Linked DNA regions of Kluyveromyces lactis. The protein of the gene in region 3 purifies or fractionates together with the protein of the main gene of each other region. This does not show direct contact. Links are inferred from orthologs where the notes say so. Each region holds a gene or a part of one and is shown on either strand. Other genes may lie near its edges.

Region 1 (9,096 bases), on a different chromosome or scaffold from region 3:
ACGTTTTTCACTTCACAGTGCAATTGATACCGGAATCCTTTTATGTAATTCAACGAATCAACAATGACGACTTTCTGACGAGAAAGATCTCTCTTCACCACAGACATAATCTTAGATCTTGCCCTTCTTTCTTCATTTGACCCAATATAATCATCGTGAGATATGTTTAAGGTTTCATCTGAATGGTATACAACAGAATAGTTTGACAGTTTATCGTTGGAATCGATAGTTTCCTGTAGTAACGTGACGAGTTTCTTGGCCACAGTTGTTTTACCGCTACTCGGAAAACCAGTTAGTAAAACCAAGGGCATTGCTGTACAGTCAAGAGGTTCTAAGTTCACTAGACGTTGCTGCAAAGTCTGAAACAATGATTGAGTTTTTCCTCTTTTCATGAGCTCATCGAGTATTTTCAAAGTTCTTGTTCTGAACGCAGTAAAAAGTAATTCTCATGTTGAAAGAAGCTTTAATGATCACCTATCATGATTCACCAAAAGAAAGTTGACAAACTACTGATTACTTCTTTGTCATAAACATTAACGACAACTCCATTAACTGTAATAGTTGTTCACAAACTTACTGTATTGGAAGATATGAACGTTTCGGTAAAATGTGTCAAATACTCAGGTAGACGGCTGCAGTCTACATTTGTACCAAGAATGGTATTCCCAGATTTCAATATACCAACAAGTGACTTCAAAGGACATCAAAAGAAAGCTATACAAAGAGCTCAAAATCTCCTTCCTCAGCTTAATCTTCTAGTTGAACTTCGAGACAGCCGGGCTCCAATAGCCACTAGGAACCTCATATTCGATTACTTGTCCTTAGAAAAGAAAGTTGACAGACTAGTAGTTTACACCAAAACTGATCAATGCGATCCTGCTATTATTGCATCATTAAATAAATGGCATAAGGAAATGGACGAACAATATATCATGATAGATGGAAGAAGCAAAAAGGGCGCTAAAGATCTCTTACATATATTAAAATGGAAGTATGATAAGTTTCTCCAGAAAAATGATCCGGGGAAGAAGACTGTGGGACTACCACTGGGTTATAGAATGCTAATTGGCGGCATGCCTAATGTTGGGAAATCAACACTCGTTAATAGTTTAAGATTTACTGGATATGCAGGCTTGGATCATTCGGATGGAAGCAAACCCAAGAAGGTTGCGAAGACAGGTGATCAGGCAGGTGTCACCAGGAACACTAGTGAATGTATCAGAATCAGTGATTATAAAGGAGGGTTGTTTCTATATGATACGCCTGGAATATCTTTACCTGCCAAAGCAATGAGCAAGCAAAGAATGCTATCACTCAGTTTATGTGGGTGCGTTAAAAACAATCTAGTGGACCCTGTGATTCAAGCAGATTTTCTGTTGTATCTTTTGAACCTACAGGGAAAATATCAATTCTACACACACTACACTACAACCCCTACTAACAACATTGACATTTTGTTGAGTGGCCTCAAAAAGCAAGTAGGAATGACAAACGAGAATGCTGCAGCCATCTATTGGACAGATTCTTGGAGACAAGGTAGAGTTTTAAAATCTGGGTTAAGATCTGGTTCTAAGAAGTCCTCTAAAGCTACTCCAGCTCTATTCGAGTTGGAACCCATTTTGGAAAACTTTCAATACAAGAAAACTATGCAAGAAGAACTTGAAATTCTCAAAGGTTGGGATGTTTTATCCCAACCCTTACTCAACAAAAGAGAAAAGCATTTATCTAAGGCAAATACGCTTTTCTGAGAGAATACCTAAGAAGTAGTCAGTTCTTGGTTAATTATAAACAATGTAAATAAATAATAGAAAAGTATAGACTAGTTTTCCAACATATATCGATAAAGCAAATCGAACCCACCGTCCAAATTCCTAAATAACTCGCAAAAAAAAGTTCATTTTATGAGAAGGAGGCTAAATTGTTAAGTACACTCTCCCCGTTTATTACCACCGCTGACTACCTATAGGTACATCCCGAACTGAAAAAAAAGTTTGCGTGCTAATGAAGGTTTCGATACCAAGGAAGTCATCCGTTAAGCAGGTTTGATTTTTTTCTTATAATCAGCAAACGATAATTTCTTTTTCATCTGAGCTTGGTGGATAGTAGACGAAGGGCCGGGAACGCTGTCTATTCCACGCTTCAACGAATTTTTAATGCTATTAGAATCGGAAGTGACACTAGTTTGTCCTTGGTTTGATATAGTTTCGGTTATATTTGTTATGGTGGTGTCAGTTGGAGGGTTATCTTCAGTACTTATTGTCTGTATGGGAATAGGAAGATCGGCTGGGTGTTTAATCTGTGATTCATCGAACTTAGAAGGATCTGAAATGAATGAAAGACTTTCTTTAAGGGGGTCAACCCTGTTTTTGGACTCCGTCACTGAAACCCTGTATTTGTTCCCTCTGATACTCCCAGCGTTCGTATGGAAAGACTTCTTCTGTACAGTGTCAGAGACCGGTTCTAACATCTTTAGCTTAACGGCATTGAATTTAAGTAGAAATTCATTGGCCCTTGCTGCGTCTGAGATTGTGGCATGCGCTAATTTACTGAGAATAGATGACTGTTTTTTGGTTTGCAATTTGTTTCCGTGTAATATTTCGTTAAGCTTGTATCGATTATTCATTTTTGATTTGACTGATCTATAGAGTGATTGAGAATGGCGTTTGATTTTCAGCAAGTAACAATCTTTACTATTACTTCCACAGGCACAATCACAACTTCCTAGAATGGTGTCTATGGAATGTATGAAAAGATACCTTTGTGGCTCTTCAATGGAATCTATGCTCTCATTATGATTTATTAACTTCCATATTGGATGTCTCAGGTCCCAGTCCCATTTGATGTGAAGTTCTTCACCTTTATCAATGAATCTTAGAGCTCTAAGAACGAACTTTATCTCATCCTGGTTATTGGAATTAGTCAATTTGATTGTGACTAGTTCAACATTGGGATTGCATGATCGTCTCAAGTATCTCGTTAAATTTCCACTTAACCTGGCATCAATATAAATCGGCCAGTGGGGATGAATAATGACTTTAGGTTTTGCAGTTCCCCAGACTCTATAGTTATTTCTTGGATCTTCTAAGTATTTCCTTTGGAAATCAATCTCTCCTAAGAATTCATCGATGTAGTCTCCTTCATCACATCCTTGCTTCAAGTATACAGCTAACTTGGGGTATCCAGGGAACAATCTTGAGTGATTACTGTCAGAATATGGTTTAATTTCAATCGGAATAGGTTTGAACGTTAATTTATGATAAGGTATAACCCAGTCGTCATCAGCGTGGTCTTTTACGAAAAGTTCAACGTATTTATCTTTGTAATCATTTGAAGTCAAAGGGAGATACACTGTAGGATAAGCTTCTTTAGCATTTATTAAAACAATGTTCGTAAGAGGATCTGCGGATGGAATGGCCTCTGGTTCTATACGATGGTCCGTCGCTTCAGAAGTACCTGGATTCCGTGAGTCTTTCGTACCAGACGTGGCCTCTTTTGTCTTCACCTCTTTTATGTTGCCATTTGCCGTGCGTCTACGCTTCTTATTCTGAGCATTTCTGATCCTTTCTTGTTGTTTCTTCTTTGCTAGCTTTACATCTACAAACCTAGAATTGCAGATGTTGCACAGAAAGTCATCTGGGGCATCTTTTTCATGTTCAATTCCATAGCATATAGCATGTTGCCAACGGAAACAATGGTCGCATTGTATAGTAAATCCATCATCATCTTCATAGCCACAGATGCACGTTATTATACCAGCATCTGGATCAACAACATAAGATTCGGGAACCGAAGAAAACCTATCCGTTTCAGATTTTTCAAGTTTTTGTTCCTCTACAGCTTCTTTGAAACTATCTTCTTGTTCCACCACTTTATCTTCGCTCTTTGCTTGCTTTGAAGGAGATTTTTCCTCGGCACCTGATCTAGGCATTGGCACGCTGTTGTTCGCAGCAGGTTTTCTATCGTTTTCTGCTTTTCGTTTAAGAGGTAGTGGCATCGTAGCTGCTTGTGCTAACGCAGCAGCCGCAACCATACCCTTCTTATTCCCGCTTTTCTTTGTCTTTTCGCTATTTGAGTTGCTGCGATGAATACCATTGTCAACGGGACTGCCTTTTAGATGATCATCGTCATCATCATCTTTGATAAGTGCCACAGATGCAGGGCCCGGTGATGTCATGGGATTCATATGCATACTTATATCACCAGCGCTCCCACTGTGACTACCAGCTTGACTTCCGACCTGACTTGCAGTTCCAGCGGAAGGAGTTGGTGTCATTTTGTGTGTATGTATATCGGCTTTTAACTCGTCTTTACCCTCATCGCTCGAGTTGACGTTTGAATTCGATGTTTTAGAGAACATCAACAAAGTGGAGGCATCGTCTATTAACGACTGGTCCTGAGCATGTTCTATAGTACCATCCGTCATCGTTTACTGTATATTTCCTTCTTGTATTGCGGTATTTGATTTGAATATTTGAAATTGAATGAAAAGTCGGTACCTTAATATTAATAAAGATGTCCTAACTTGCCCAGCTTGATATACTTATATACCCTTCTTTATCTTAAAAGGGATCCCTGTTTTCAGGGCCTAGTATGCTTGTTGTCCGAGCTATCGAAGTATAGAAAGCACAGCTAAAACAGTCTATACGTTCTGAATCAAACCCAACAGGAAAAATTAAACGGCCCTTTCTGATCCTCGTACAGCTGTTCTATCAAGTTTGCCAACGGTTACTTCGTGAAAGAGATATGTGCGAGTACCTTATTGACGAGAGCTAATTAGACACTCAATATGTCTGGGCTGGTCGTTTCGTTTCGTTCCTTATTAACATGTTTATTCATCCTTCGTTTGTCAATTTTTAGAAAGATAGTTAATGTTGTTGATTTTCAAAATTTTGTCGTTAAACGGTGAAAAATGTCGTACCTTGAATAATGAAGAGCCGATGAGTTGTAAACAATAAACAAGGTGCAAAAGCACGGTTAGTAGCAGTACCGTTTTCGTTTAACGCAAAGCTGTGGGTGAACATATCGCTGAACGCAAGATTGTGTTACTACTACATGTACCAAGCTGTAGATACTTTTTCTTTTTCTTTATTACTTATATTTAAATACCGGTTTACTGCCAACAGATCCACAATTGCCATGCAATATATTACTCTGTTGCTGCATAATATCAATTGCCGGAAAGGTTACAGTCTTGGGGTGCCGTAACTTTCTTGGTACCATTCTATTTCTTGTAATGCTTTCTTTTCGGGTTCTACTCTCCATTCGATTTCCGTACCGTTCCAATCACTTTCCCTGTACCTCCACTTGTGTGCCAGTATTGGTGCTAATCTTCCTTCTATTTTCTGCTGTACGTAGCTTCCGATGTTAGGAAGAAACTTGTAAGCATGTCCCGAGTCTCCACAACATACATACACGTTTTTCAGGTCGGGGATCATGTCTATAATGAAGTCAGAATTTGATGTGTCACTGATCCAGCATATCTTACAATCAATGATATCCCTTAACTTTGACTTTCTTTTGGTATCGAAGACTAGATCCGGTAGATATTTACCTAGTACTGTTCTTATACGCACGACTGCCTCTATTGGTACACTGGGTGCCGCATCGGGCTGTAGGGCCCGATAGACCGCTCTTGATTTGTTGCTCATATCATCATATGCAGACATCGCACTAGTGCAAATCTTCAATATCCTGGTGTGCTTATCTGGAGGGAACAGATATCCTAAGCTACTGTTGAAGACCACTGGAATATCCTTTAACTTTTGATATTCTTTGTCCGTCAGTTGAATATGGCCTACATATAACCCAGTAGCCCTGATCTGACCATACATAGGCAGAAGTGATACAGTATTAGCACCACATGCAACAATAATTTTGTGTCCAAGGAATTTTCTGCCAGATTCACATTGAACAGTGCCCGCTGACACACTCACGGCTCCATCATTTTCATGAAATACGACGCCTAATGATTCAGCATAATTTTTCATGGTCACTAGTGAATCCCTAGCCAAACCAATACCACAGTCTGGATTGTAACGAATCTCATCGTAGCGTTGACTATGAGAAAACTGAGGGAACTTACCACCACAAGTTAACTCTTTATGTAGTTCCACAGTTTTACACTTATTAAACTTTGTTTGTAGAAGTTGTAAACTGTCATTATCGAAAGCATATCTGCTTGTATTCTTATCTTGAATTGCACTCAATCTACCACAATGAGAGTAACAATCATGCAGCATTCCTCGAGGCAAAAATTTGTCACTTTCACCGTGCCAGTATCCCATTGCTTCCACTGCTAGTGCAGCGTAGACTTCATCGTTGTACTCTAGTCTAACAATTTTATTATAATCACAGGACGCACTTAACTGCGATGGAATTTGAAACTTATCAACCACCACAACTTTATATTTGGAACGAGCCAATTGCACAGCAGTACTTAATCCAAATATACCCGCGCCAACAATGACAACATCATAATTGGACATTTCCGGTTCGCTGCCTGTCTAATGTGAGGAAAGCTGTATAGTTGAATATATTATCTATGTTCTTTCTTAACCGAAGTTCTTCTTTATAAAGACTTTGAAGTACAATGTAAAGTTGATGGCTCGAAAGATTTTGAATCATCGGACCTCGGAGCTGATAGGAACAGTTTACCAAGAAAAAAAAAAAAAACTTGAGATAGTAAACAAAGACAGTAAGGATAATAGTGTACATAAGAGGTAAATCAAGTAGAAGTACCATGTTATAGAGTGAAAGAGTTGTCGGCATTTCTGTCCTGTATCCAACAAGTTATAAAGGAAATAATAGAAGCAAGTTATGTTAAAACTTATGAGCTAGCAGGTACAAAAGGTGAATATGTGTGTGTGTGTGTGTGGATATTATAAACGGTATAAATGAATGGGAAGAGGACCAGGTAAAGCGTTGTTGAAAGAAATTTCAACGAGTAGAACTGAAAGAGAGGAACAGCCTGCTGTTCTTTGTTCTACGATCAGAAACTTAATCCATCTTGGAATGTATGATTGTGGGAGTTAGAGGTTTGAATCAGGTTTTGAGATGCATGTTCCGATGGATCTAAAAGACAATCTAAAACTCTTTGCTGTACTGCCCTCTCCAGCAGATTTCTTGGGATCTGTTCTTGTAGATCAAGTGAATCGTCTATTGCCATTTGATCTGATAGTGTAGGACCCGCTGGTCCATTCGAATGCATGTAATTACCTTTGTTTTTGTTAAGTGGTAATTTCTTAGCCATCATATCCTGATAATAGTTTAGAAGACTATCTGCATCATCTTCGTCTTCTCCTTGATTGGAGATCTTCATCTTATCAACGGCAACTTCATTGTTTTCATCTTTGTCGGTCGCTCTAATTTCATGTTCCAAGTTCTCATCAGTATCAAATTCGTCCAACACCTGAATCCTATAATTCTCATGGTCCATGTCAATCGAATCATGTTCATCGTCATCGTCATCAACATCCAGAGTTGGTGGGTTCATCTGATTTGTGGTGTCTTGATAAAGCTCTATTTTGTCATTTAATTCCTTAGAAATTTGATCAGATCCTGTCATAGTCTCCATGCTATCATCCAGCTCAATAGTGAATACCTCATTATCATTGTTGGCATGTCCTATGAGATTTATATCAGGAATACTGTTACCATTAGCGTTTGTAGAGCTATCTAGCCTCTCGTTGTGAGCATTTACCTGTTGTTCCTGCTGTTTTTTTTCTACAATTCCTTGATTCTTCTGGCTATTTGTATTCGTGTTAACACTAGTAAGGATTTTCTCATCATTGTTTGTATTTGGATTGATGTTAACGTGGTTTTTCTGCGTGGAAAATTTGAACCATGAGGCAACTCCTCCTCTTCGCGGTTGCTGTTGGCTTTTATCTGTTACACAATTCATTTGATTGTTCTTTTGAACCTTTGGTAACTTCTGTGGAGAGTTAAAACTAGGAACAATGCCCAATTCCGGGTTATGTGGTAGTCCAGAAAGAATACGACTCCATTGGTTTGATATTGATGGATTTGCTGCAAGTTTATTTGCCAAAGCTGTATTATCCTTATTTTTGGATGCGGTTCCGTTATTTGTCTTTGCCAAAGATGCTTCTCTCATCACGTATTCCTTGAAGTATGGCAATGCACATATTTCGTTTGCAGTAGCCCTTTCACTTGGATTCCACTTTAGGCAAGATGTAACCACATCATATAGATCTTCCAATTGTGGGTTTGGTAGAACATCCCTTATCGTTTTCCCTTCTACGTATGGGAATTCATAGTTCAAAGCTTGGTATAATGGTTTTGAATCCAGCCATGAACCCCCAAAGTGCTCCTTTCCATTGATAGAATGATCTGGGGAGCCCAATAAATCTAGAATCCTCCATATTTGATCGGTTTCGTCAGAACCGGGAAATAGTGGTGAAAAGGTGGCTAGTTCGACAACAACACAACCATACGCCCAAATATCCAACGGTTTGGAATAGTATCCTTTTCTAAGAAGAATTTCTGGTGACCTATACCAACGGGTCGACACATAGGTGGTATAAGGTGATCTGTTATTCACATGTCTTGCCAAACCGTAATCAGCCAATTTCACCACGTAATTATCCGAATAATTATCATCTTCCAACCATTTCTTGCTGAAGTACCTATGAGATGGCGATATCAAGATATTCTCCGGTTTGATATCTCTATGGAAAAAATCGTGATCATGAATATGTTTAATTCCTGCTAATATTTGGAATAATATCGACCTCAAAGTAGGTAGGGAAAACACTCTTCTTTTCCTATGTTTCATCAATTGATAAATGTTCTGCTCCATGCATTCCATTACAATGTGAAGGTGATACAAAGAATCATCAATGAACATCTCGTATATGGTAACCAAATTTTTGTGTGCAGGAATTTGCAATATGAATTTGATCTCTCTGACTCTTGTATAGTCATGCAATGTTGGTAATCTATTCATCATTGTTTTGATTGCCACTATACCCTTTTTCTTATAGTACCAGTTTTCTTGTTCGACGTTTCTGATAAGAGTTTGATCCATCAAAGTTTCTGGGTACATTGAGGAAATTTGGGTGGCTGAACTGTTCATATCGT
Region 2 (8,872 bases), on a different chromosome or scaffold from region 3:
TTCCTTGGTCATAGTCTTTGGTGGATCACCAGATAGTTGTCTTATACCAGCGAAGATTAGCAAAGAGGCAATCAAACCAGCAGCAACACCCTTGGCAATGAAAGCAGCATCACCCTTACCGTGCACTGGTCTTCTTGGACCCCAAGCACCGTAAGAAATGTACCAAGCAGCTTGCTTTTCAACATTAGTCAACTCAGTCCATGGTAGCTTTTGACGTTCAGCTAGCTTTAGGACAATATCTTGTTGTTCAGTAGCTGGCAAGTCTTCCCATCTGTTTGGTAAATCGACGATAGATGCCTTAGATAGGGCTTGTGTTTGAGCAAATCTGACAGGAGTGACACGGGCAACTCTAGAAACGGAGGAACGCAACACTGTTGGTAATAATAACATTGAAAATGATTCAATAAGGAAAAAACATATTTTTCCCATCATTTTCCAGTTTAATCGTTGTTAGTAAAAATAAGATTCTTTGTACTGAAAAAAATCAGACGATAATTGCAAGTGGAATAAGTAAGAGTTTAAATATCAATTCTGGTCTTGAAAAACATGATCCCTTCTTTTACAGCTGAGTTACAATCATTATTATGTTGAATTCTCAAAATGCCATTTCTTTCTCCATGACCAAATACAGATAATGGATAAAAACCCTTATAGGAACCAAATCCACTAAAAAACAACCAATCCATTTAAAACTTTAAACCTGATCAGGTATGACTATACCACCTTATTCATCGGGATGATAATTAGAACATCTCTTAAATCGTTCTTCTTATGATTTTATCCATTATCTCCGGAAACTCCAGTTCGCATTTGTTCCTTATTGAAAATTCCCATTCGCAATCCCCTGATTATGTTACGTCTTACGGTGCACATACTCTTTATAAAATCTTTGGCCGCTAGTTGTGAATACTAATATCAAACAAGAAAACCCTTGGAATAAATTAGAGAAACTATACCAAAACAATGTTCAAATCTGTGAAACTAGCTAAAATCAGCTTTATATTTTATCTTTTATTTAAATTATATGAAAAATTTACAGCTTTTTTTTTCATGTTTCTCCATTATAAAAGGTGAATAGCACCAACGGAAGTGGGCCGAAAAAAAAAACGCTAACAAGAAAACGCTTCGAAGAAAAATGGCTGGTAACAGTTTTTTTTTCTACTCTATTGTTTATCTCGAAGGAGAATCGAAGGTTTATGATATGATGGTGTGTTTTAGGTCATTTCATACGAGATGGAACTTTTTTTCGGATTTAACGTTACTAAATCAGACTCTGGCCAATCATGTTCCCGGAAAGACAGTCGCATAGTACGGGTTGGGGAAGTGATGAATGAAGGGCGTGGAAAATCATCTGCAAAGGTCCGAGTCACGTGTATATAAAATCCACGTGACTTCTATTTTCCGAGGAAGACGTTCTTCTTCTATCTTTTCTTATGTATTGTTACAGTGTTAAGCTTCTTATGCTATGTATAATGACCCTACCAAAGCGCTTTGGAGGCATTCAACCATGGTAACATTTTGGAGCGTGATTGATATTTGGCAGGGACAAAGCGTGTGTTAGCATTATTTTCGTTTTGGCCAGGTCTTTTGCTATCACGTAAAAGGACCTTTCTTGTTCTGTACAAGGCAGATGTAGATGCCGGGATAAATTCTATCATATTTTTTTCAATCCAGTCATTCATCTTTGGGTTTAAATCTTGCAGGTTCAATCGCGATAGTTTAATCCATGTTAGTGGGAGTTCATAGAATTTTACATACTCTGTTTGGTCAATTTCCGACAATTGCCTCCAGGGCAAGGACTTCGAGTTGTTTGCATTATCGCTGCCGCCATATAAGAAGATGAATTTGAAAAGATTCCATAGTTGTGGGTACTGACCCTTTTCCACTTCTTTAAATTCTGATGATTGTTTCTTTAACTCTTCGGTGCTGGATTTGATAATGACACTTATTTGAAGATCTAGCACCCATTTTGATCCATCTTCAGTGAAGTAGTACACAGGCCCAAATTTATCGTAATTCTCAAGATCTTTGAAATCAATGACTCTCAATCCAATTGGATAACGCTCTCTGATCTTTAATCTTTTTTCTACTTCGTTTCTGTTTCGAAGTTCTTCTTCTTTTAATAGTTCCTCTTTCTTGGCCTGTTCTAGCCTCTGTTCCTCCTGTTGCTTCAATTTCTCCTTCTCTTCTACTCTCTTCCGTTCATCTTCAGCTAATCTGTTTAAGAATTCCTGTTCTTTCCTTTTCTTCTGTTGCAGTCTCTTTTGCCTGTACTCTTCTTCGCTCTTCAACCTTGCGGCTCTCTCTTCTTCGCTTTCTTTCGGAAGAATAGGCGGAGTGGATAGTTGATGTGTAGGAGATGCACTTTTATAACGATGAGTTAATGATGTTGAAGATGTTGATTTTGTTGAGTCTAGTCTCTCTAGACTTGGCCTGACTAGGGAAGCAGTTTCTGCTGTCGTTTGAGAATCAGGTAATAATTTTGGCTTTTCCTCATTGATATTTCCGATTTTAGATTGTGGTTCTGAATGATAAGGACTATCATCTTTACGAATTTCCAAAGAACGATCTTGCTCTTCTCCTTTGGTGGATGGAATTGACGATATTTCTCTAGGTGAAGGAGATTTCCCTTCAGAATCTTCCTCCCCCTCTTCATCGCTGTTGTTTGAAACTTCGTATCCATATTTTGCCCTCACCGCTGCTTTGAGTAAATTCACTTCATCAGGATCCGTTAGACCAAGAGAGCTGTGGTTAGCATAATGCAAGGCAGTTTTCTTTCGTTTGTCAGTTTTCTGTGGATCCGCCCCGGCTTCGAGTAAAAGTTTCACGACGTTGACATGTCCACGCCCGACAGATAGCATCAACGGAGTTTGACCTTCTTTGTTACTCATATTAACTTGTGCGCCAAAGGCTAAAAATAAACTTACTACGTCATCATGACCATATATGCAACTCTCAAGGAAACATCTGAAATCAGGTCTACCACCGTTTTCAAGGTACGAACCGACGTATGCTAATTTCCCCTCTTTGGAAGCTTTCAAAAGCTTGTTTTTACCCAATTTTGAACTGATATCAGTCCAATAAAAGTCGTCATCATGGTTGAGTTGTTTGTCTATATCATCTGAATGTCTTGACATGGAACTAGACTGTAAGGTGCGATGGGAATGTTTTATATATTTCCTCGTTGCTCTCTTTAACATATCTTTCATATCGTGCACTATTCTTCTATCATCATTATCCATGTCTGATTCCTCCTCAATAGATTCAATTGCACTTAGACCTTTGGCATTTACCATTGTTGGATCTGCTCCGTGATCTAGAAGATATTTTACAACATTTATGTGGCCATTCGCGGAAGCATCAATAAGAGGCGTATCTAGAAACATATCATATGATTGAATATTAACATTAGCTCCATTTCTTACGAGCAACTCGACAATTGCTGAATGACCATTTAGAGCTGCTTCGTGTAGTGGCGTATTTCCAGCGTTGTCTTGGTCGTTAACGTCATAGCCGTCTTCTTCAATAAGTTTTTTTGCCAAATCATATTTGCCTTTATCACAAGCAATTTGTAGTTTTGTCCTGCCTCCGGCATCCCTATGTACTCCACGCTTAGTCTTCGGTATCTTTTTCCCGGCAGAATGTTTTTGCTTCTTGTGATTGGAGGAGTTTTCTATACTAGAGGATTTGCGCTTGTGTTCATTATAATGTTTCACCGGAGAGGAATCTTCGTGAATCGCACTGCTTGATATTTTAGCTGTACGAGCCTCATCTAAATCGGAAAGATCAGAATCGGATTCCCCATCATTTGTCAATACTGGAGCACTTGATTGTCGACTGTTGTTTCCGCTTTCAAGTTGATCACCTCGTATTAGTCTCCCCATTTTTGGTCTTGGTGGCGATGCAGGCTCTGTCGGTGCGTCACTTTCAACTTCACTGAGTGCACTACTATATTCTTCGTCAGAATGCTTATTTCTCCCTACTTTCGGTAGATTTTTCTTTTCTTCTACATCCGTTTCCTGTTTTATTTCATTAATAGGTCCTTTCGTTTCCGCTTGTCTCACCGGTATTGACTCTTGATTATTCAAAGGAGATCCAACTTTCTGGTCAGAGCTGTTTGCTTGGCTAACGACATAGGGTTCGTCTGATGGTTGTTTTGTACTGTTCTGATCAGTTGAAGTTACCTTTTGAGATACCTCTTCCTCCTTTACTGGAACATTGGTAACAGAATAATTCCCATTTTCACCCACTGGCTTAGGACTTTCTCGCTGCTGTTGCTCTGATCTTTCTCGTTCTTCTCTTCTCTCTTCGAGACGAGATAGATAACTGCCCAAGCTTCTTTTTTTGACAGGTTCGCTCATGGTTATTACTCGGTTTTTTCAGAAAGGTTTGAAAGTTATGAATGGCCTCTGATTTTCCATAATTCGCACTCTTCTGAATGAATCCTTCGAGTAACGTAAAGTCCGAAGTATAATAAGTGGGAGGACAGTATTATCTAATGGTTTCTTTGCATTATTCTCCCTTGTCACCAGCTTTATTTACCTTATATCATAACTTAGAAACCTTCAAAAGTTTAATGTTTTTAAGAACAGAATTATCACTTGGTACGTTTTGATAGTTTGCCCAAACAGAAGATCCGCGGCGTATTATTACAGAGTAGTGTTTAGGCTACTATATACTTTGTATGGGTATCCCTAAAATTGCGTTTTATATCATACAATCTCACAGAGAGAGTTCACCGAATTCCGAGATGGACTCGAATGACTGTTTCCGACAGTTATCATTGATTGAGTCACAATTGTTAAGCCAATCTTCCCATTCCATTAGTTGGAATAACAAACTCATATTTGGACTTATTTCTCTGGCGACAGACTTCAATTTATTATATGCTTCATTCAAGCTTAATTTGTCGTATCTCATCATGTAAGCTACTATCAAGGAAGCTGATCTTGATACTCCACATTGACAGTGGATTAGCACCTTTTTTTTGCTGGCATAGGCATTCTGTATTAGTTCTGTTAGTTGTGGTAGGTTTTTAGTAATTTGTGAGGTATGAGACCAAGTAAAATGATAATAGCAACCTTGCTTGGATAGAGGCAGTTGTTCCTTGTAGTTGGTAATCTCCTTTGCAACGTTTATTATTACGTCGTAATCCATTACTTCTTTTAATGATGGTTCAGAATACAAATATATGAAAGGAGGGACGACAAGTAACGGTCCACTGGGATAATATTTCTCTCTGTATGATTCTGAATAGCTCGGTGAGTCTTCATCAGAATGGGTATTGTATGGGATGCTCTTCATATCATTATCATAATTTGTAGAGGACATGGGCGTATTTTCTTGAAGAACCCAATACCGTGTCGTGCTTTCCATTGAATCATTACTGGGCGTCTGTATCTGAGGTACACTTGTCGCAATTGTCGTGGCCCTCGGCCTATTGTGAAATTTGGTGTTGATTGTTGGAAGTGTTGGTTTATTGAAAGGCGAGGAAGACGTAGACGATGAGGGTGAAGCGGCTGAATCAAAGCCCGAACTGCCAGACGGTAATTGTGGTGTAGAGGGTGTGGATCTGGCAGATTTAAGCTGTGGCGGTAAAGTGTATATCTGTGCTTCACTTACACGTTTAGTAAGCTGGTGGCGCAATGGCACTGCGAAAGTATCATTGCTTTCATTTGGTTTTGAATCCACCATTATTAGTTTGTTTTTCGTTGGGGAATCACCTATTCGAAGACAAAGGTTCTTTGAATTTTTATTTTGCATCGAATGATGTGACCTTGTACTTATTCTCTGCGGTGCCTCCATATCGCTCGGTGTTGGGTATTGAAAAGGACTTGCAAGTATGATCAAATGTTTAATATAATTATAACCAAATAAGTTTCTTACCGAATTTCTTTGGCCAGGAATTCAAGATGAGATAAGAACGGTTTTCTTATGGGTTACCAGCGTCTAGGGAAATAATCAAGTACCAGCTTTAGTTTTCCTATATCTTTGAAGTAACACAATATTCAATAATTTCAATAAATTGCTGTACAAGCTTTTCTCAAATATCCTCTAATGTAGTAGCTAAGATCTCACAATCGTTCCCCGTTAATATGTTCAAAATATCCCCTCTGCCGCCTTGAATGTGTGTGTGGTAAGTCGAGGAAAACCCACCGGCGTGCAATTCGAAGGTTTAAATCTATGCCAATAACAATGATAACTTGTGGACCTACAGCAGTTGATTTATTTGACGATAAAAACAGACAAATGAACTTTTAGCTCTGTTTCGGTACCTTGTTTCAAGTTTACTTCTTGTGCTTAGTATTTCAACATTTCTGCTTTTTTTACTTTTTCTTGGGGACACAGGTAGGTCCTAAAAAAAGAAGTAAATAAATAACATTCTTGATGCAGATGTTGCTGGGGTCACTTAAGGCTTATAACTCGGCCATGAAAAATACAGTTTGTGGTACTTTAAGTATATCTTATTGTTATCATTATATATAATTACAAGCAAATTAGTTGCTGTGGCATACTACAAGACATTGTAAAAACTAAGTAAGGCCAAGGTTGAAGTTTTCCGATGAGTTATCTTGGTGTCTGACTTAAACAAGCTTCTGGCAGACTAAAAAATGGCCTTTATATTCTATTGCGCATGGTTATTTCCATGCTTTTTTCTGAAAGGTGAGTTGTCTGGATCTACAGAAATTTGCTGTTGTACTGGGAGTACTTTCTGGTTGTTAAAGAATGGGATACTGTAATACATGTTTCCTCTGACGATCAATTCGAATTCATATTTGATCAATTCTTTCCAACGGTCAATATCATTCTCTAGTTTGTGATTGCCCTTTTCATCTTGGTTATCGTGGCCCATTTTCTTTTTGTTACCATTATCATCGTCGTCATCGTCATTATCCCCGTCTTCATCATCACCATTATTTTTAGGTGCACCAGGATTGAGCAATTTAACACTGGCAACAGAAACATCATAATTTCTGTTGATCAATCTTCCTCTAAATTGTAGTTCACTTTCGAGATTGTATACTGTCCCGAGTAGTATGGTTTGGTATGGAGTTGAATATAACTTGTCTTCATTTGAACTAACGTCAACGTGCTTAGTCTTAGCAAATATATCTAGTTCCACGTCTTTTATACCAATAGTGAAGAGACTTGGATTAAACGCAGTCGCTGTGATATCGAATACTAATTCATCCAACGAAACTAGAACGTTATCCATGGCCAACAATTGGAAATCGTGTAATTCTTTGTTGGTTGCCAGTAGGAATCCAGAAATGAATCCAAGAGTCAATAGGGAGGCCACGATGAAAGAGAAGTAAACGAAATTTTTAAACTTAGACCATGAACCCTTCTTGGTGTAAAAGTTGTGGGGAGAAAAATCACCGTAGAAATCAGATCTTTTCCTGCTCACTCTTTTATTCTTCAAAGGAGTATACTCACTGGCTTGATTGAAATAAGGTAATTGGGACGAACCAAGTCCCTTTCCTTCATTTGATCTCTCTGCATTATTCGGATCTCCGTAGAAAAATCCTTGTGATTCTACATCTTCCGTTCCATCGTCGAGTTCTGAGAACCTCCTTCCAACTCTAGCATTGTTAGGAACTATGCTACCTCCGTTATAGTAAAACATCGACTCAATATCATCACCATCTTCGTCCGCGTACGAATGTTCATCATAATTGGTTTGATTGTGATATGTCAGTCCGTGAATATCACTGATATCCGAATTGGATTGGATATCGTTATTATCCAAATCGATTTCATCATCTCCATATCCACTATGGTTATCATTTGGTTCATATTGAATATGGTTGTCGGAGGAGTACGTTCCACGTTGAGAAGCAGCATTGGATTGGTGCTGTTGGTTGTTCGATTTCTTTTCCGTTGTCCTGGATGGTCTATGCATTTTAATATCAAATTCACCATCATATTGATCTACAAAGTCTTCTAAATTAACATCATCAGGAACTCCGGAATAACGACGTAGTGAGGAACCATTAGGATCAAAGACTTTAGAACTTCTTGTCCTCAAAGCAGATTTTTTGGAATCGCCTGGTTTTGAAGAAGTTCTTCTGTGATTTTGATGCATTACTTTATTCTGAGCCAGAGGAAGCATAGGTTGCGGGAAGTGTTGTTTGGAATTTTTTGGTATACTTGATGTGGTTTTTCCGCTTTTTGGCTGCCCAAAGGCAAAGGTAGATTTTGTAGGAGTCGTTGAAGTAGATGATTTTGTAGCTCCATTTGTGATAACAGACTGAGGTTGCTGTTTTTGCTGCCTGTTTTGTACCTTTTGAAGTGAAGTGATACTGAGACGTTTCTTAGGAGAGGCAGACATTTGAGTTCGATGCGACTTGATAGATTGCATTTCTTGCATAGTGTTTCTATTGATTGATCTCAAAGACGCTACATCATCCTGTTCAGAATTGCTTGACGGAGGTCCTTGAGAATTAGGGATTGCTGCTATACTTGTGTGTCTTGTGTTCTTCAATCTGTTTAGTAGTTTATCGTTCTGTTTCAATTGAGGAGCGCTTAACTTTGCAGGGATACCATAGGACTTAGAATTGTTGTTATTATTTTGTATGGAGTTGATAGTATTATTCGGTGTTGCGGATACGTCGTTTATCGAAGCGTTTTTGACTGAATTTGCCGTCGATTGATAAACAAAGGTTTCTTCCGAGTCAGATATTTCATTTTCGCCGACAGCCGTTGCCAACCGGGCAGCAAAAAAATCGGCCTTTGATGAAGATTCCTTATTGAGTTTTCGCACAGATTCCGAATCTGTGACCGTTGGCAGCGATATTTGCCCATTCGGAGTCAAATTTGCTGATGCTGACTGGACCTGAACAGTGGGATTATTCAAGCCTTGTGTTTGTGA
Region 3 (7,182 bases):
AGATTTTTCAAGCATCATCATCATTATCATTGTCAAGTTGAAATTTGTACGGCCAGTCCAGTTATATGCAGAGGAAGCGTGTTACGAAATGTACTGAATACACATTTTGAGAGTTTACCTAATTGTTTCTATACGCCCTAACCCCTTCCAGTTAACTACACAATGGACTATAAAGAAGAACAGACGCAGGAACTTGAGATTCTAGAGTCGATCTATCCAGATGAATTTACTGTTCTGAACTCTGAGTACCCAGAGATCGAATTACAAATTGATATCAAATTGGACCCCGTACCCTTGGATGATTCTTCATACACCGTGGATTCGATAACTAATGATCATATTTTGCATACTATTTTTACTCTACCAGAAAATTACCCCGATGAAGCACCTCTAATTAAGATTATGCCGGAAGAAGTGCCAAAATTCGACAGAGATGATGAAGATGTGGATGACGAGGACGATGAAGATAAGGACGAAATTGAATACGATGACCATGGTAACCCGATAGTATCAAAATTCGAAAATATACCTGATAAAATCCATTTCGATGAATTTATACCGCAATGTATCGAGAAATTGAATGAACAAATCCAAGAAGATATGCTTCTTGGGATGCAGATGTGCTTCGCTTTGATTTCCAACATCAAAGACTACGCCGAACAGTGGTTCCAAGAAAAGCTAAGTGAACTGGAGAAAGAACATGATAGGTTGCTGCTGGAACGTGAAAAGGAGGAACAGAAAAAGTTCAGAGGTACTAAAGTGACAAGAGAATCATACATCGAATGGAGAGCCAAGTTTAGGAAAGAACTGGGGTTGGACGAAAGAGACGCCCAGAGACGTCTTGCTGCCCACCAGGGGAGACTTTCTGGTAGACAGATCTTCGAACAAGGACTTGCTGGCGATGAGGATTTGGATGAGGAGAATGAATCTTTGATCTCAGAAGGTGTAAAAGCCATAGCAGTTTAAATTCTCCATATTTTTATAACACTTCTAATGATTGATTTCATAATATGGCATCACTTTAAACCTTAGACTAAGCATAGTTAATACACCTTCTCATTAATGAAGGTAAAAGTCTCACGGTGCAAGGTCAGGTAATTTTTTTCATATATTTACAGTATATAGATAAGAAAATTATGATAATAATAATAGTAGGGGTTGTGAGTTCTAGTTGTAAGAATATAAAATATGACAAGTCCCACTAGCCATGTGATAGTTAATGCTATTCAATCGAGGGAGCCTCTTGATTCGAATTGTTATGTTGATATACTTGGGAGTTTCATATTTGGTTTTTGGACATAGAGAATAGATCAGCAAAAGCATCGGATTTCGTGCTGGCGTTGTTATTGTTGGTCGCGGCTGGCGTCGTGGTGCTGCTAGATCCACCGAAATCTAGAAGATCATTCAATGTAGCATTATTATTAGAGGTTTTATTATTATTATTATTATTATTATTATCGTTACCAAAACTGTTAAAGTTACCAGATGCAGGTGGAACTGGACTTTTCTCACTTTGAAAATCACCAAATTCATCATCGTCATCATCTTCACCATCAACACCGAAGCTCTCGAATACGTTAGCATTATTGCTATTGTTGATTGAAGGAGAAGCAGGAGCTGGTGCATCATCGAAGTCCAATAGATCGATTTCTGGTTCCTGCGCGGAGACTTTTCTTTGATGTTCACTGTTACGGATTCTTTCTCGTAATAGCTCTCTTCTCTGTCTTCTCTGTTCGTCCACAGCAGACGATCTACGATCTCTGTGAGCCGTTGGAGTAGGTTCATATTCGAAGTCGTCCGAGTCATCAATGGTAGAAGACGATCCGGCGAAAGAGTCTGCATTGATGGAAATATCGTTATACAGAGATTCTGAGCGAGATCCGGCAGATCCGGCAACGATTTTTTGTGTATTTTCCGCGGTCTTGGAACGCTCGCGTTTCAAGTAAGAAGTATCCTCTATCAACTGGATGATATGTTCACATTTCTTCTTGATACCACGCTCATGTAATTCCATCTTCCCATCACTACTGAAATCAACACGATACTGCATCGTTTCCTTGGTTAAGATATGTTTATGTGCTTGTAAACAGGATAGCACTTGATCAGTCTCTTTGCCCCTATCTGACCTCATCAATAAATACTCTAACAAGACCAAACATTTCAACACAACTCTCCATTCGTTACCGTAATTCACGTACTGCTTTCTGGCCTTTTCGTACATGTTCTTAGGTCTTTTAGCCATATGATCGACTAATCTTTTCAAAGTATATTCAGTCATCAAAAACATTGAAACCTCATAACGATGTCTCATCACTTTAGCCAAATGTTTTGGAGTTGGACCCCAGGAATCGGTATTCGTAGCACGTCTAATATCGATCTGGTATGGTTCATACTGAACTATAACGTTCTGTGCAAATCTTGCAGCATTTCTGAAATCATGCAGACCCAAATTACCCAACTTTTTAGAAATAGAATCCATCCTTACTGATAAGATATAGCCTGTCCAGCGTGATCAATAGCGTACCACTGCAGATACAACGGGTTACCGCACTGAAATGACGAACGTATCCTCACTGATCATTAATCATGATCATTATTTTATGTTGAAAAGTCTTGTAAAGGTTGCGCTGATTGCAGAGGGCAGCTAAATTGGGAAATTTCAGGTGAGAAAAGGGAACAGGCCCGGGTAACCATTTTCATTGGGTAGCTACATTTGTTAATGGCCAAAGAGGAGAGATGATGATCTAGTCATAAACTTCCATTGATATAAAAGGGTGTTGTATATATGTATTTGAGTGTCTTCCATTACCAATTGAGTGAGATCAAATACACTCAATTAGTCAATGGGTTGTTATAGACATAAGTATATATATAGATATCCCGAGCGATTGAAGTGTGATAAAGGGAAGAAAAAAGGATTAAAATGAAAAAAAGAGTCAATTCCCTAGCTTATTTCCTTACAATTCACCAGACTTAGCGATAACAATTCTGGCCTTGGTAGCACCGGAACCGGAACCCAGGGATTCGACCTTCTTGACGACATCGAAACCATCAGCGACTTCACCGAACACGACGTGCTTACCATCCAACCATGGGCATGGAACAGTGGTGATGAAGAATTGAGAGCCGTTGGTGTTTGGACCAGCATTGGCCATGGACAACAAACCTGGCTTTTCGTGCTTCTTGACGAAGTTTTCGTCTGGGAACTTAGCACCGTAGATAGACTTACCACCGACACCAGTACCGTGAGTGAAGTCACCACCTTGCAACATGAAGTCTGGGATAACACGGTGGAAAACAGAGCCGGCGTAACCGAAACCCTTTTCACCAGTAGCTAGAGCTCTGAAGTTTTCAGTAGTCTTTGGAACAACATCGTTGTACAATTGGAAAACAATTCTACCCAATGGTTGACCGTCAGCTTCCACGTCGAAAAATACCTTAGACATTCTTAGTTTAGTTTAGTAGTTGATACTTGGTGTGTTGTAACCAAGATTTTGCAAACCAGAACAGAAGAGCAAGAACTGGACTTGAATTGGAATTGGATTGAAGTTGAATCAGAGTTCAATTGAGAAAGTGGTTGGTAGTTGCTAACAAAGGGTGGCGTTGGCTTCGCAAAATGGTATTAGGTGATGACATGCGGCCGGGTAACGAAAACGGAAACCCCATTATCTTACACATCAACCGCATTGTCGCCGCAAGTCACGTGACACACGTGACTTGCATATTTTGTTAACATCGCAAGGCACGGAGAAACATGCCTGAGTTACCCGTGCCTCAGCTGAAAAATTCTTCGAGAGACAAAACCTGAATCGAAATAATGCGATGAGATGAGATGAGATGAGATGAGATAGCCAAAGGTTGGGTAAATATATAGATGCTGATTTGATTCATCGCACTCCAACGAACAACCACGTATACCATGCTAAGGGGAACTAGAAGACCAGCAAACTCCACTTTGAACACGCCCGTTGTGGTACATACGGTGGGCACGCCAACATACCTATCTAAAGACGAAGTACTACAATTCCTAGCAAGTTTCATTGCCGAAAAGGAATCAGTACCAGGCGTGACACTAGCGTCAAGCGGAGCTTCTACAACCCAGGGAGCAGTAACTTCTGGTGGCATTAGTGCCGATGAAATGGCTCTAGATACACAGCTTTCCAGTGCTCTTGCGCAGCTGAAAAGAGTCGAAAGAGATTTCAAAGGTCTACCACCTCAAGTAATGGAGATGGAACCCTCCAGCACAAGTTCTACTGGTAATACAGAAGAAGATACGGTGGCTAAATCTGCTACTGGAGGGAAAAAGATCAAGTTTGCTGATGTGCCGGAATCTTCACAAACCTCCAGTGACAGCAAACAAACATCCTCATCCTCGGAATCGTCATCAGACTCTGAATAGACGGCTGATTTGCACTACCCACGAATCGGGAGGGTATTCATTCATTATATATATATATATATATATATATATACATACATACGCTAAGTTACATACAGTGACCGTTATAATCAATGCATAAGCTTGGAGCTCACCCTAATTGCAACATACCACGTGACTTCAAATACACAACTTTTTCTTTTCCAATGGGCTCACCTGCGGTTTCTTTCACACAGAGAGAGTGTGAGTCAGTTGGAATTTTTCGTCAAAGTGATATGACATCAGTTGAAAAGAATATCAACATTAACATCCGATTCCTTACTACCAGGTATATATTTGTACACACTTGTAGCATTCATCGTTGCTCTACTTTGCTTCTAATATACTTATCTCATTTTCTTGATCGTATTTATTCTAAAGCGATAAAGAGGATCTGAATCTTGCTTAGGAAGATTAAGAAAGAATCACTACTTATAATATACTATAACTATGGGTAAGAAAGTCGCTGGTGTCTTAGGAGCTACTGGTTCCGTTGGGCAAAGATTTATCTTGTTGTTAGCTGACCATCCAGATTTTGAATTGAAGGTTTTGGGTGCTTCTTCCAGATCTGCAGGTAAGAAGTATGTCGATGCTGTGAACTGGAAACAAACCGATTTGTTACCAGAATTTGCTAAGTCCATCATTGTTTCTGAATGTACCGCTGATGCCTTCAAGGACTGTGATGTTGTGTTCTCTGGTTTGGATGCTGACTATGCTGGTCCAATTGAGAAGGAATTCAAGGAACATGGGTTAGCTGTTATTTCTAATGCTAAGAACTACAGAAGAGAAGAAGATGTGCCATTAATCGTTCCAATCACCAACCCAGAACATTTGGATTTGGTTAACGCGAACTTGGTAAAGGCCAAGCAAGAAGGTAAGCCAAGACCTGGTTTTATTATTTGTATCTCAAACTGTTCTACTGCTGGTTTAGTGGCCCCATTGAAACCATTAGTTGAAAAATTCGGTCCTATTTCTCTATTGACCACTACCACTTTACAAGCCATTTCCGGGGCTGGTTTCTCTCCAGGTGTCCCAAGTATCGATATCTTAGATAACATCATCCCTTACATTGGCGGCGAAGAAGACAAGATCGAATGGGAGACCAAGAAGATCTTGGGTGCTTTGAGTCAAGATAAATCTCAAATTAACCTATTGAGCGATGACGAAATCAAGGTTTCTGCTCAATGTAACCGTGTTGCTGTCTCTGACGGTCACACTGAATGTATCTCTTTGAAGTTCAAGAACCAGCCAGCTCCATCTGTCGAAGAAGTAAAACAATGTCTAAGAGACTATGTCTGTGATGCTGCTAAGTTGGGATGCCATTCTGCGCCAAAACAAACCATCCATGTCTTGGAACAAAATGATAGACCACAACCAAGATTGGACAGAACAAGAGACAATGGTTACGGTGTATCTGTTGGTAGAGTCAGAGAAGATCCTGTATTGGACTTCAAAATGGTTGTATTGTCCCACAACACCGTTATCGGTGCTGCAGGTGCAGGTATCTTGATTGCCGAAATTCTATTAGCCAAGAACATCATCTAAACGCAAAATGATAATTCTTCCTGAAGCAAATTTGAAAGGCAGTTTCTAGTGCTCCGAATATTTTTGTTTCTTTCACGTAATCATGTATAACCAGATAAAATGTAATTCATAATTCATATTTCGTTACAGAATACCTACAATGGGCACTAATCCATTTCAGCGCAGAGCTTACTAAGATGACGATCTGTTTATCATGGAATTAGTACTGCTCGATGAAGAGACTTTATATGAGTACATTTTCGAACGATATGTGGAATTAGAGGCTAACGCAAACGATTTATCTCAAGATCTCGGTATTCTGTCGAGAAACGAATCAGAATTAGAGATAGACATTGGGCCACATCGCCTAGTGACCAGGAAAAAAAAAGCACCAGAAAGAGATGAGTATACATTTAGTATACACCAAAACCTAACCTCTTTAAATTCCAACCGTGATAATAATAACTCGACGACTGGATACGTCATTTGGACCACGTCTACTTTTATTCTCAAATGGTTATTATACAATGACAACGCTACCATATTCACAAGAGGGGGTGTAAAGGATGAGGTAGATATTACATCCATTTTTCAATGTCAGCAAGATGATAAACTACGATATGTCCTTGAACTGGGCACTGGAACATCACCAATGTTTCCTATTGTTTTCTCTAATTACGTTGATAAATATGTGGCCACTGATCAAAAGGACATCTTGCCTCGATTAAAAGATAACATCCAAGAAAACCAGTCAGAGTGTAGACGGAGACTGCTTAAATCCAACACAATTGCTTTAGATGATCTTAAGAGACGTACTGAGTTGGAATGTCAGATTGACATAGCGCTGTTAGATTGGGAACTGTTCTCAGGTAGCAAGAAATCTAGAAACGATCCCGTTCTTCAATGCGGACCGAACTTCCATCTGACTATAATCGCAATGGATGTAATATACAACGAATACTTAATTGTACCATTTTTAACCACTCTTGAGTCGTTATTCGTCTGGTATACCGAACAACGTGTAACGGTATCGGCATTGATCGGAATTCAACTTAGAACTCAAGATGTACTTGAAATGTTCCTCGAAGAGGCTATCATAGAGAGACAATTCATAGTGCACGCCGTCGATGAAAAAGAACTTAACAAGTCACGTTTCATACTCTTACACGTAAATTTGCCCTAGTTCATATACACTAGGAGGGCTTCTCTCTCTATAGATACCTTAATGCAGTTCTTCTGAA
Region 4 (6,797 bases), on a different chromosome or scaffold from region 3:
TACGTTGCAATCAGTTTCGTTGTTATAGATCCACGCTTCATATTAGGCAGTAGAGAGAATCTTTTGGATTGTCTCTTTGATTGTCTTTTGTAGTCACGAAGCATTTCTTTAGGGACGGGTGGAGCTGCACTATCGTTTATCCTGGAAACTCTTTTATGAGCAGCAGGGGTTGGAGAAGACGAATTGGAGACTAGCTGTGAAATTCTCTTGTTTGAAGGGAAAGTCTTACTCAAACGTTTACCTATTGAGCCGTTTTTCACTGGTGAGCTATGTTGGCTACTCAGTTTTTGCATTGATACAGGTCTTTTGTGAGAAGATGAGGCAACTATGATTGATGTTCTTTTCTTCTTTGGAGTGGTGACTGGGGAATCAGATTTATTAGGAGATGGTAAAGATCCAACGTACATCAGCGAATTCGAAGAGACAGATTGTTTCTTTTGTAATTCTTGTTGCTTCAATTGATCTTGGTAATTATCGTGTTTAAATCTATGCAGTAAAGCGTAAAAAGTCTTTTCTAAATTAGCACCAGGTTCCATCAACTTCGTAATAATGTCTTCCTTATTTCTACCATGCCATAGAACAACCAAATTCTGCAAAATAGTTTCATCTACGCATTGATTTCCTCCTTCTAATGATAGTGGATTCAAATAGGTATCTTCTCGAGGTAAGTTTCTAATGGATTTAGAGTCCTTAATGCTTGGGTATTTTCTTAGAAGTGGATGCTTTAGGATCTCTCTTGTCTTGATTCTTTGTTCTGGATCTACTGTTAAGATTCTGGCGATTAAATCTTGGGCTTCCGATGATATTTCATCATCTCCAGGCATTTCAAATTTCCCACTTTGAACCTTTAACAAGAGATTTCTGATATTGCCATCTTCTTCATCAAATGGCAACCTACCGGTCAGTAAAGCGTAAAGAATAACACCACATGACCAAACATCGGATTCAAAACCGTGATATGGCAAGCCCGAGACAATTTCGGGTGCCGCGTAATGAGGCGAACCACAACTAGTTTCCAGTAATTTATCTTTTGATTCTAGTGCTGCCATACCGAAATCGGCTAGTTTGACATTGAATTTATGGTCTAATAAAAGATTTTCAGGCTTCAAATCACGATGAACTATACCTAACGCATGGCAGTAAGAAATACCGATAATTATCTGTCTGAAAAATCTGACTGCCTCATTCTCAGGTAATGGGCCCCTTTCCACCAACAAGTTGAATAACTCACCTTTTTCAACGTACTCTAAAACCATATATAAATCTTTTGAAGTTTCCCAAACATCGTATAATCTCAAGACATTAGGATGATTCAACAACTTCATAATGATAATTTCACGTTCAATACCATAGGGTAAGACATCAGGATCGTTACCACCAATCATTGTCGACCCTTGAGCGTTGAATATTGATTTTGATATAATTTTCACAGCGGCTTGTTGTCCTTTAGTTTCATTATAGGCCATTACGACTTTACCTGTTGAGCCAACACCCAGTGTCGAGCCCAACTTCCACGGGCCAATTGTGTCACCCTTTAACGTCGTTATTCCGTTACCGTTCATTTCTGATATATTGTGATAGTATTGGCCAAGCTACAAGTTATAATGTTCCCCAGTCGCGTAAAGGTTTGAATGATAATTTCTTATGAGAATGAATGTGGTGTAATATATCGTTTTTATCAGAGTGAGATTCGCTTGCCTAGATAAATAACTCTCTATGTCTGATATCTGGTACCGTCTAGTGAATTCAATTGGTCGTGGTTGAAGATGGTTGAAGTGAATTGAAATTATTTTTTTCACGATAACTTTTATGGTTTAATCTACTTCCAGTTTTATGTGATGAGCCTTGTCTCAATTTCTCAGTATTTCCCTCAGGTACAATTTTCACCAAAGAAAAACACAATTAAACTTCACGTCTTGGTATATATGTATGCCAAATAACAATGGAAGAAAAAACCTACCAAATTCAAAACGAGTGTGGCAGAAAACTATTAACAAGACAGCTAATATTTCTTCCACTTCTGGTAAATTATTCTTTCTAAAATCATTTACTGTAACAGTTATACTAATTGAAAAGAATGTTCACCATACTAGGAAGGAAAATGACTTGAAAAAAAAAAGACCTAAAAACGCGAAACTTGAAGCAAACCTAGCTTTTCGAATCGAAATAGGAATACAAGGGTGGTAATTTGCAGGAGGTCTGTTATAAGCCCTGCCATTTGATACCCAATCTCTTTTTTCTTTCCATTCGGATTTCATTTCTAATTCCATACCGACTGTTTTCCCTGGGGAAATGCAGATAAGCTTGCGGGCACTTTTCTTGTTGTTCATCCAAAGTAGTTTTAATATTCCAGATACATAGTCAGTTATTATAACATTAGATAGGTTACATTGAAAGATAAAAAAGGATGGGAATGCTGTAGTTGATCCCACTTACTGCTGCAAAGTACACTCCCAATTACAAACTACCACCAATTTGCTCTCTGTGAGCTTCAATGATATCGTTATCTTCCATGTCCAAATCTTCAGGGGTCTGATCTGGTAACACACGCACACCGTCGTAAAGGAATCTTAGGGATTCAATCTCTTTACCTTGTCTCTTAGCAAATGCCTCCATTAATCTTTTTAATGGAGTGGTCTTTTTGATCTTGAAGAAGATCTCACTGGATCCATCCGAAACCTTCAAGTTAATATGTGTTTCTGGCTTAACATCCACCTTTTGTTCTTGTTCTTCTGACATTTCAAACTGTGGTTATATATATAGGCGTTGAAGAATGGAGAAACAGGATTCAATGAATGTTTAAAGACTCGCTTTTTCTTCTTCTAACTCTCGGCAGTATAGATTGAGCTTTTGTTTGTTAAGGTAATTTGTATTGTTGAACTAATTCCTGGCCAAAAAAAAAAAATACTGTAGTCCTGAAATTCGACTGTCAACTGACATGGAAAAGAGCTCTAACAAAAAGCAGTTTCCTTCTTCCTTTTGAGAGCATGAAAATGAGAAGTTAGGGGAGGGAAGGGTAACGACCCACAGGCACGTGATCTTTCACTCCTGCCCATTTTGTTTTGCTGTACTTGGCAAAAGGATTAATCGTAACCCGGCCATGGCCGGGTTACACTTAGCCGGAAGCCGGAAGTTTCCTTTTGCCAAGTACAGCAAAAAGATAAGACGCGTGCTACAGCGCGCAAATGCCCTGTAAATATAAATCACGAGGGCACTTTCCTTTCAGTTTTTTGGATAGAGCTTCAGTCCGTGTTGCATTGGATTTTTGTCGCCGAACGCTATCACCACCGCTCATTCGTTTGTTCCGATAAAGCTATAACTGTCTGGGCTATATTGGAACCTTAAACCCGTTCTCTCAAGTGCCATTAAACTAAAAGCACCGAGATTATTACCCTATCTTTCTTATAAAAAAAGAAATAGAACCTCCGTAGACCGTTTCTCTTAGCCCAATTTGGGTTTTCCACCTCGTTCCTTTTTATTTTAGTTTCAGTTTTCTATTTTGTCGCCCTTGCAGGTGATGGCTACATCCTCTACTGGAAGCTCCATCGAGAAATGGAAACTGCAGGACCATATTCTTTCATTGCTGCGGTATTAACTGGGTGAAGCTGATCATTTGAAAAAGAAATAGGAAGGTGTATGGGTTGTTCCAGGAATATTTAAGGCTCTTCTCTGGACAGCCCTTAGAATCCCGCGCCAGGGATTGTTCGAAAGTGGCGTATTGAATCTTTTTGTATGCAGTTTGCGGTCTTTTCTTTTGGTTCATGGCACAATCTTATTTTCTTTACTTTTTTTCATTCGCAGTAACGTTAAGAAGTGTGTCACAAGATGACGAGATGAGACGATGTAGCCATTGAGCGATCCAAGACTGGAGGTACTTTAGAAGCTGTTAGATGCGTAGCTTAGCCTCAGCCAAAGAGATGGCAATCGTATTCTGATTGCCTTTTCCCTCAGTTCCTTCCCCCACCTGCCCATGGTTAGTAAATTGGATGATTTGGTCCTGATAACTCAGAAATCACTCTAGTTAGTAGTTGGTAAGTAATATACTGATCGATTTAAGAATGAGATGATGTATTATAATGTTCCTAGTGATTATCTGGGACGCAATACATGACACCGAAAAGTAATGTTGGAGTCTTGGAATGTTTTCGGTGTGTGTTGATTTTCTTTTCAGCGATTTTATAATATAAATATATATATATATAAAAGTATATGTAGAGTGGTCGATTTCATTTTGCTATGTGGTTGTCACATATTCTCTGCAACCGTGGTCGTCCTTATTCTTTAAGAGTTCATATCTTCAAGAAGTATATGCTAGACTGCGTCAAATCTTACCATGACTGGTGCTACTGGATCTTCTAATTCAGACTTTATAAGTCCTGTTGGCAGTGACGTTAAACATAATGATAAATCAGATACTATAATACAATCAGAAGGGTTCCCAAGTATTGAAGGTGAAGCTGAATACTATGAGAAAACGTTCTCTCAATCGGACGAGGAGTACGCTGCAAAATCAAGTGTTTGGCATAGGTTTAAGGATTCCTTCAAGAGAGCCGATCATATTAATACGAATATACATGGAAATGCGGAATTGGAATTGAATCCATCACAGAGTCTCTTACCTGAGAAGGGTGCTAGCTTAAAGCGAGATATTAAACCAAGGCATGTTGTTATGATGTCTTTAGCTACAGGTATCGGTACTGGTCTACTTGTTGGTAACGGTAAGGCATTGGCTACCGGTGGACCGGCTGGTTTGACCATTGGTTATGCTATTATGGGTTCTTGCTTGTACAGTATTATTCAAGCTGCTGGTGAACTAGCAGTTGCATACCCAACTTTAACTGGTAATTTCAATAACTATCCTTCCTTTTTGGTGGACCCTGCTATGTGTTTCGCTACCGCTGCCCTTTACTGTATTCAATGGTTATGTGTGTTCCCATTAGAAGTGATTTCTGCGGCCATTACCATCAAATATTGGAATACCAGCATAAATCCTAATGTTTGGTGTGTTATATTTTACGTTATGATCATCGGAATTAACATGTGTGGTTCCGCTGGTTATGCTGAAGCCGATTTCTTTTTCAACACTTGTAAAATTTTAATGTTTGCAGGTTTCTTCATCTTGGGTATCATCATCAACTGTGGTGGTGCAGGTGACTCAGTTTATATCGGTGGTAAATATTGGAACGACCCTGGTGCCTTCAACGGTGACACTGGTATTAGTAGATTCAAGGCTATTGTTTCTACTTTGGTTACTGCTGCATTTGCTTTTGGTGCATCAGAAGCCGTTGCTTTAACTGCCAGTGAACAAGCTAACCCAAGAAAAGCTATTCCAAGTGCTGCTAAGCAAGTGTTGTACAGAATTATTGCCATCTACTTGGCTAGTATCATTCTAGTTGGGTTTTTAGTTCCTTATAACTCCCCTGAATTGATGGGTTCAGGTAGTTCTTCTGTCCATTCTTCTCCTTATGTGATTGCTGTTGCATCGCATGGTGTCAAAGTTGTCCCATCATTCATCAATGCAGTCATCTTAATCTCAGTGTTATCTGTAGGTAACTTTTCTTTCTACTCAAGTTCCCGTATTCTTCTATGTTTATCCGAAATCGGTTATGCTCCAAAGTTTTTCCAATACGTTGATAGACAAGGTAGACCACTATATGCCATGATTGTGGGTGCTCTTGTTGGTTGTATTTGCTTTGTTAGTGCTTCATCCGCAGAAGAAAGTGTCTTTACATGGTTGATGGCCGTTTCCGGTTTGTCCCAATTGTTCACATGGACTAACATTTGTATTTCTCATGTCAGATTCAGAAAAGCCATGCAAGTTCAAAATAGATCCATAGGTGAATTAGGTTTCAGGTCCCAAGTTGGTGTATGGGGTTCTTACTATGGTATCTTCATGATGATATTGGTTTTCATCGGTCAATTCTGGGTCGCACTTTTCCCAGTAGGAGGTACCGATGGTGCCGATGCCGAAAATTTCTTTGCTAATTATCTTGCAATGCCAGTCTTCCTTGCACTATACTTCGGTTTCAAGATATGGAAGAAGGATTGGAGACTATATATTCCAGCATCTGAAATCGATCTCATTTCTCACAGAAAGATTTTCGATGAAGAAATACTAAAACAAGAAGATGAGGAATATAAGATAAAAATGAAACATGCTTCCATATGGGTAAAATTATCCAACTTCTGGTGTTAAACTATTCAATCATGTACAAACTGAACTAACTTTATGAACTCACTGTACGCCGTCATTCTAAATGTTTTTCATGAACCTCATCTTACCTTCTATCCTTCACACTTTAGTTACTATATGATATTTTTTCAAGAAAGAATCTCCTTAATGCATTATCTACTGGTTTCATCCAGTAACGAACCTTTTAATCGATAAAATTAGAATATAGACTAAGTACTGCATAGGATATATATTATATGTTTAAAACATAACTCCAAAACTAGTATCATTACATTATATATTATGGTCATTATCGTGGCAGTTGCTGCTGTGTAGTTTTTACCTTGTCAGTGCTGTCTGTAAAAAACGACAGGACAGCATTTGTTAATTCAGAATTCGAGTATATTCTTCTAATCCTCATCATTATCTTCCAGTAGGTTTACGAATGTTTTTTTATTCTGATAACTACAAAGCACGGTTTGCATTGATGTCGCATTGTACTCTTGGGGCTTGAAAAAATCGATTGGTTTTTCCGAAATAGATGTGCCTTTTATGATGTATGAATGAAGAGGCTTAAAATCGAAACCAGGATCTAGTATTTGGATTAATTCTGGTTCAATATCCT

What was found.
Region 1: the proteins of CPR1 (region 3) and KLLA0_F02882g purify together in Saccharomyces cerevisiae (affinity purification with western blotting; 4 studies listed by BioGRID, with this or other methods). This does not show direct contact. The link is inferred for Kluyveromyces lactis from reciprocal best matches to the Saccharomyces cerevisiae genes CPR1 and SET3.
Region 2: the proteins of CPR1 (region 3) and HOS4 purify together in Saccharomyces cerevisiae (affinity purification with mass spectrometry; 4 studies listed by BioGRID). This does not show direct contact. The link is inferred for Kluyveromyces lactis from reciprocal best matches to the Saccharomyces cerevisiae genes CPR1 and HOS4.
Region 4: the proteins of CPR1 (region 3) and SMT3 purify together in Saccharomyces cerevisiae (affinity purification with mass spectrometry; 3 studies listed by BioGRID, with this or other methods). This does not show direct contact. The link is inferred for Kluyveromyces lactis from reciprocal best matches to the Saccharomyces cerevisiae genes CPR1 and SMT3.

Annotation. Positions count from the first base shown.
Region 1 is NC_006042.1:264,489-273,584, reverse strand, and holds KLLA0_F02882g (uncharacterized protein), read right to left. Parts: upstream 4,424-9,096; coding exon 2,033-4,423; downstream 1-2,032. Other genes in the region: KTI12 (Kti12p), read right to left, coding at 1-392; putative GTPase MTG1, read left to right, coding at 591-1,748; KLLA0_F02860g (NAD(P)/FAD-dependent oxidoreductase), read right to left, coding at 5,184-6,485; protein kinase IME2, read right to left, coding at 6,989-9,096.
Region 2 is NC_006042.1:338,259-347,130, reverse strand, and holds HOS4 (Hos4p), read right to left. Parts: upstream 4,362-8,872; coding exon 1,479-4,361; downstream 1-1,478. Other genes in the region: KLLA0_F03641g (cytochrome c oxidase subunit IV family protein), read right to left, coding at 1-371, 876-876; KLLA0_F03597g (dual specificity protein phosphatase family protein), read right to left, coding at 4,723-5,805; VAC7 (Vac7p), read right to left, coding at 6,626-8,872. UniProt on the Saccharomyces cerevisiae protein: Unknown. Component of the Set3C complex, which is required to repress early/middle sporulation genes during meiosis.
Region 3 is NC_006040.1:1,412,228-1,419,409, forward strand, and holds CPR1 (peptidylprolyl isomerase CPR1), read right to left. Parts: upstream 3,447-7,182; coding exon 2,958-3,446; downstream 1-2,957. Other genes in the region: GIR2 (Gir2p), read left to right, coding at 163-966; ENT5 (Ent5p), read right to left, coding at 1,280-2,479; DNA-directed RNA polymerase I subunit RPA14, read left to right, coding at 3,920-4,399; HOM2 (aspartate-semialdehyde dehydrogenase), read left to right, coding at 4,868-5,962; RKM5 (S-adenosylmethionine-dependent methyltransferase), read left to right, coding at 6,156-7,124. UniProt on the Saccharomyces cerevisiae protein: PPIases accelerate the folding of proteins. It catalyzes the cis-trans isomerization of proline imidic peptide bonds in oligopeptides. Involved in histone deacetylase complexes, suggesting a function in chromatin.
Region 4 is NC_006039.1:122,884-129,680, reverse strand, and holds SMT3 (SUMO family protein SMT3), read right to left. Parts: upstream 2,740-6,797; coding exon 2,458-2,739; downstream 1-2,457. Other genes in the region: KLLA0_C01650g (uncharacterized protein), read right to left, coding at 1-1,562; KLLA0_C01606g (amino acid transporter AGP1), read left to right, coding at 4,334-6,196; KLLA0_C01584g (uncharacterized protein), read right to left, coding at 6,583-6,797. UniProt on the Saccharomyces cerevisiae protein: Not known; suppressor of MIF2 mutations.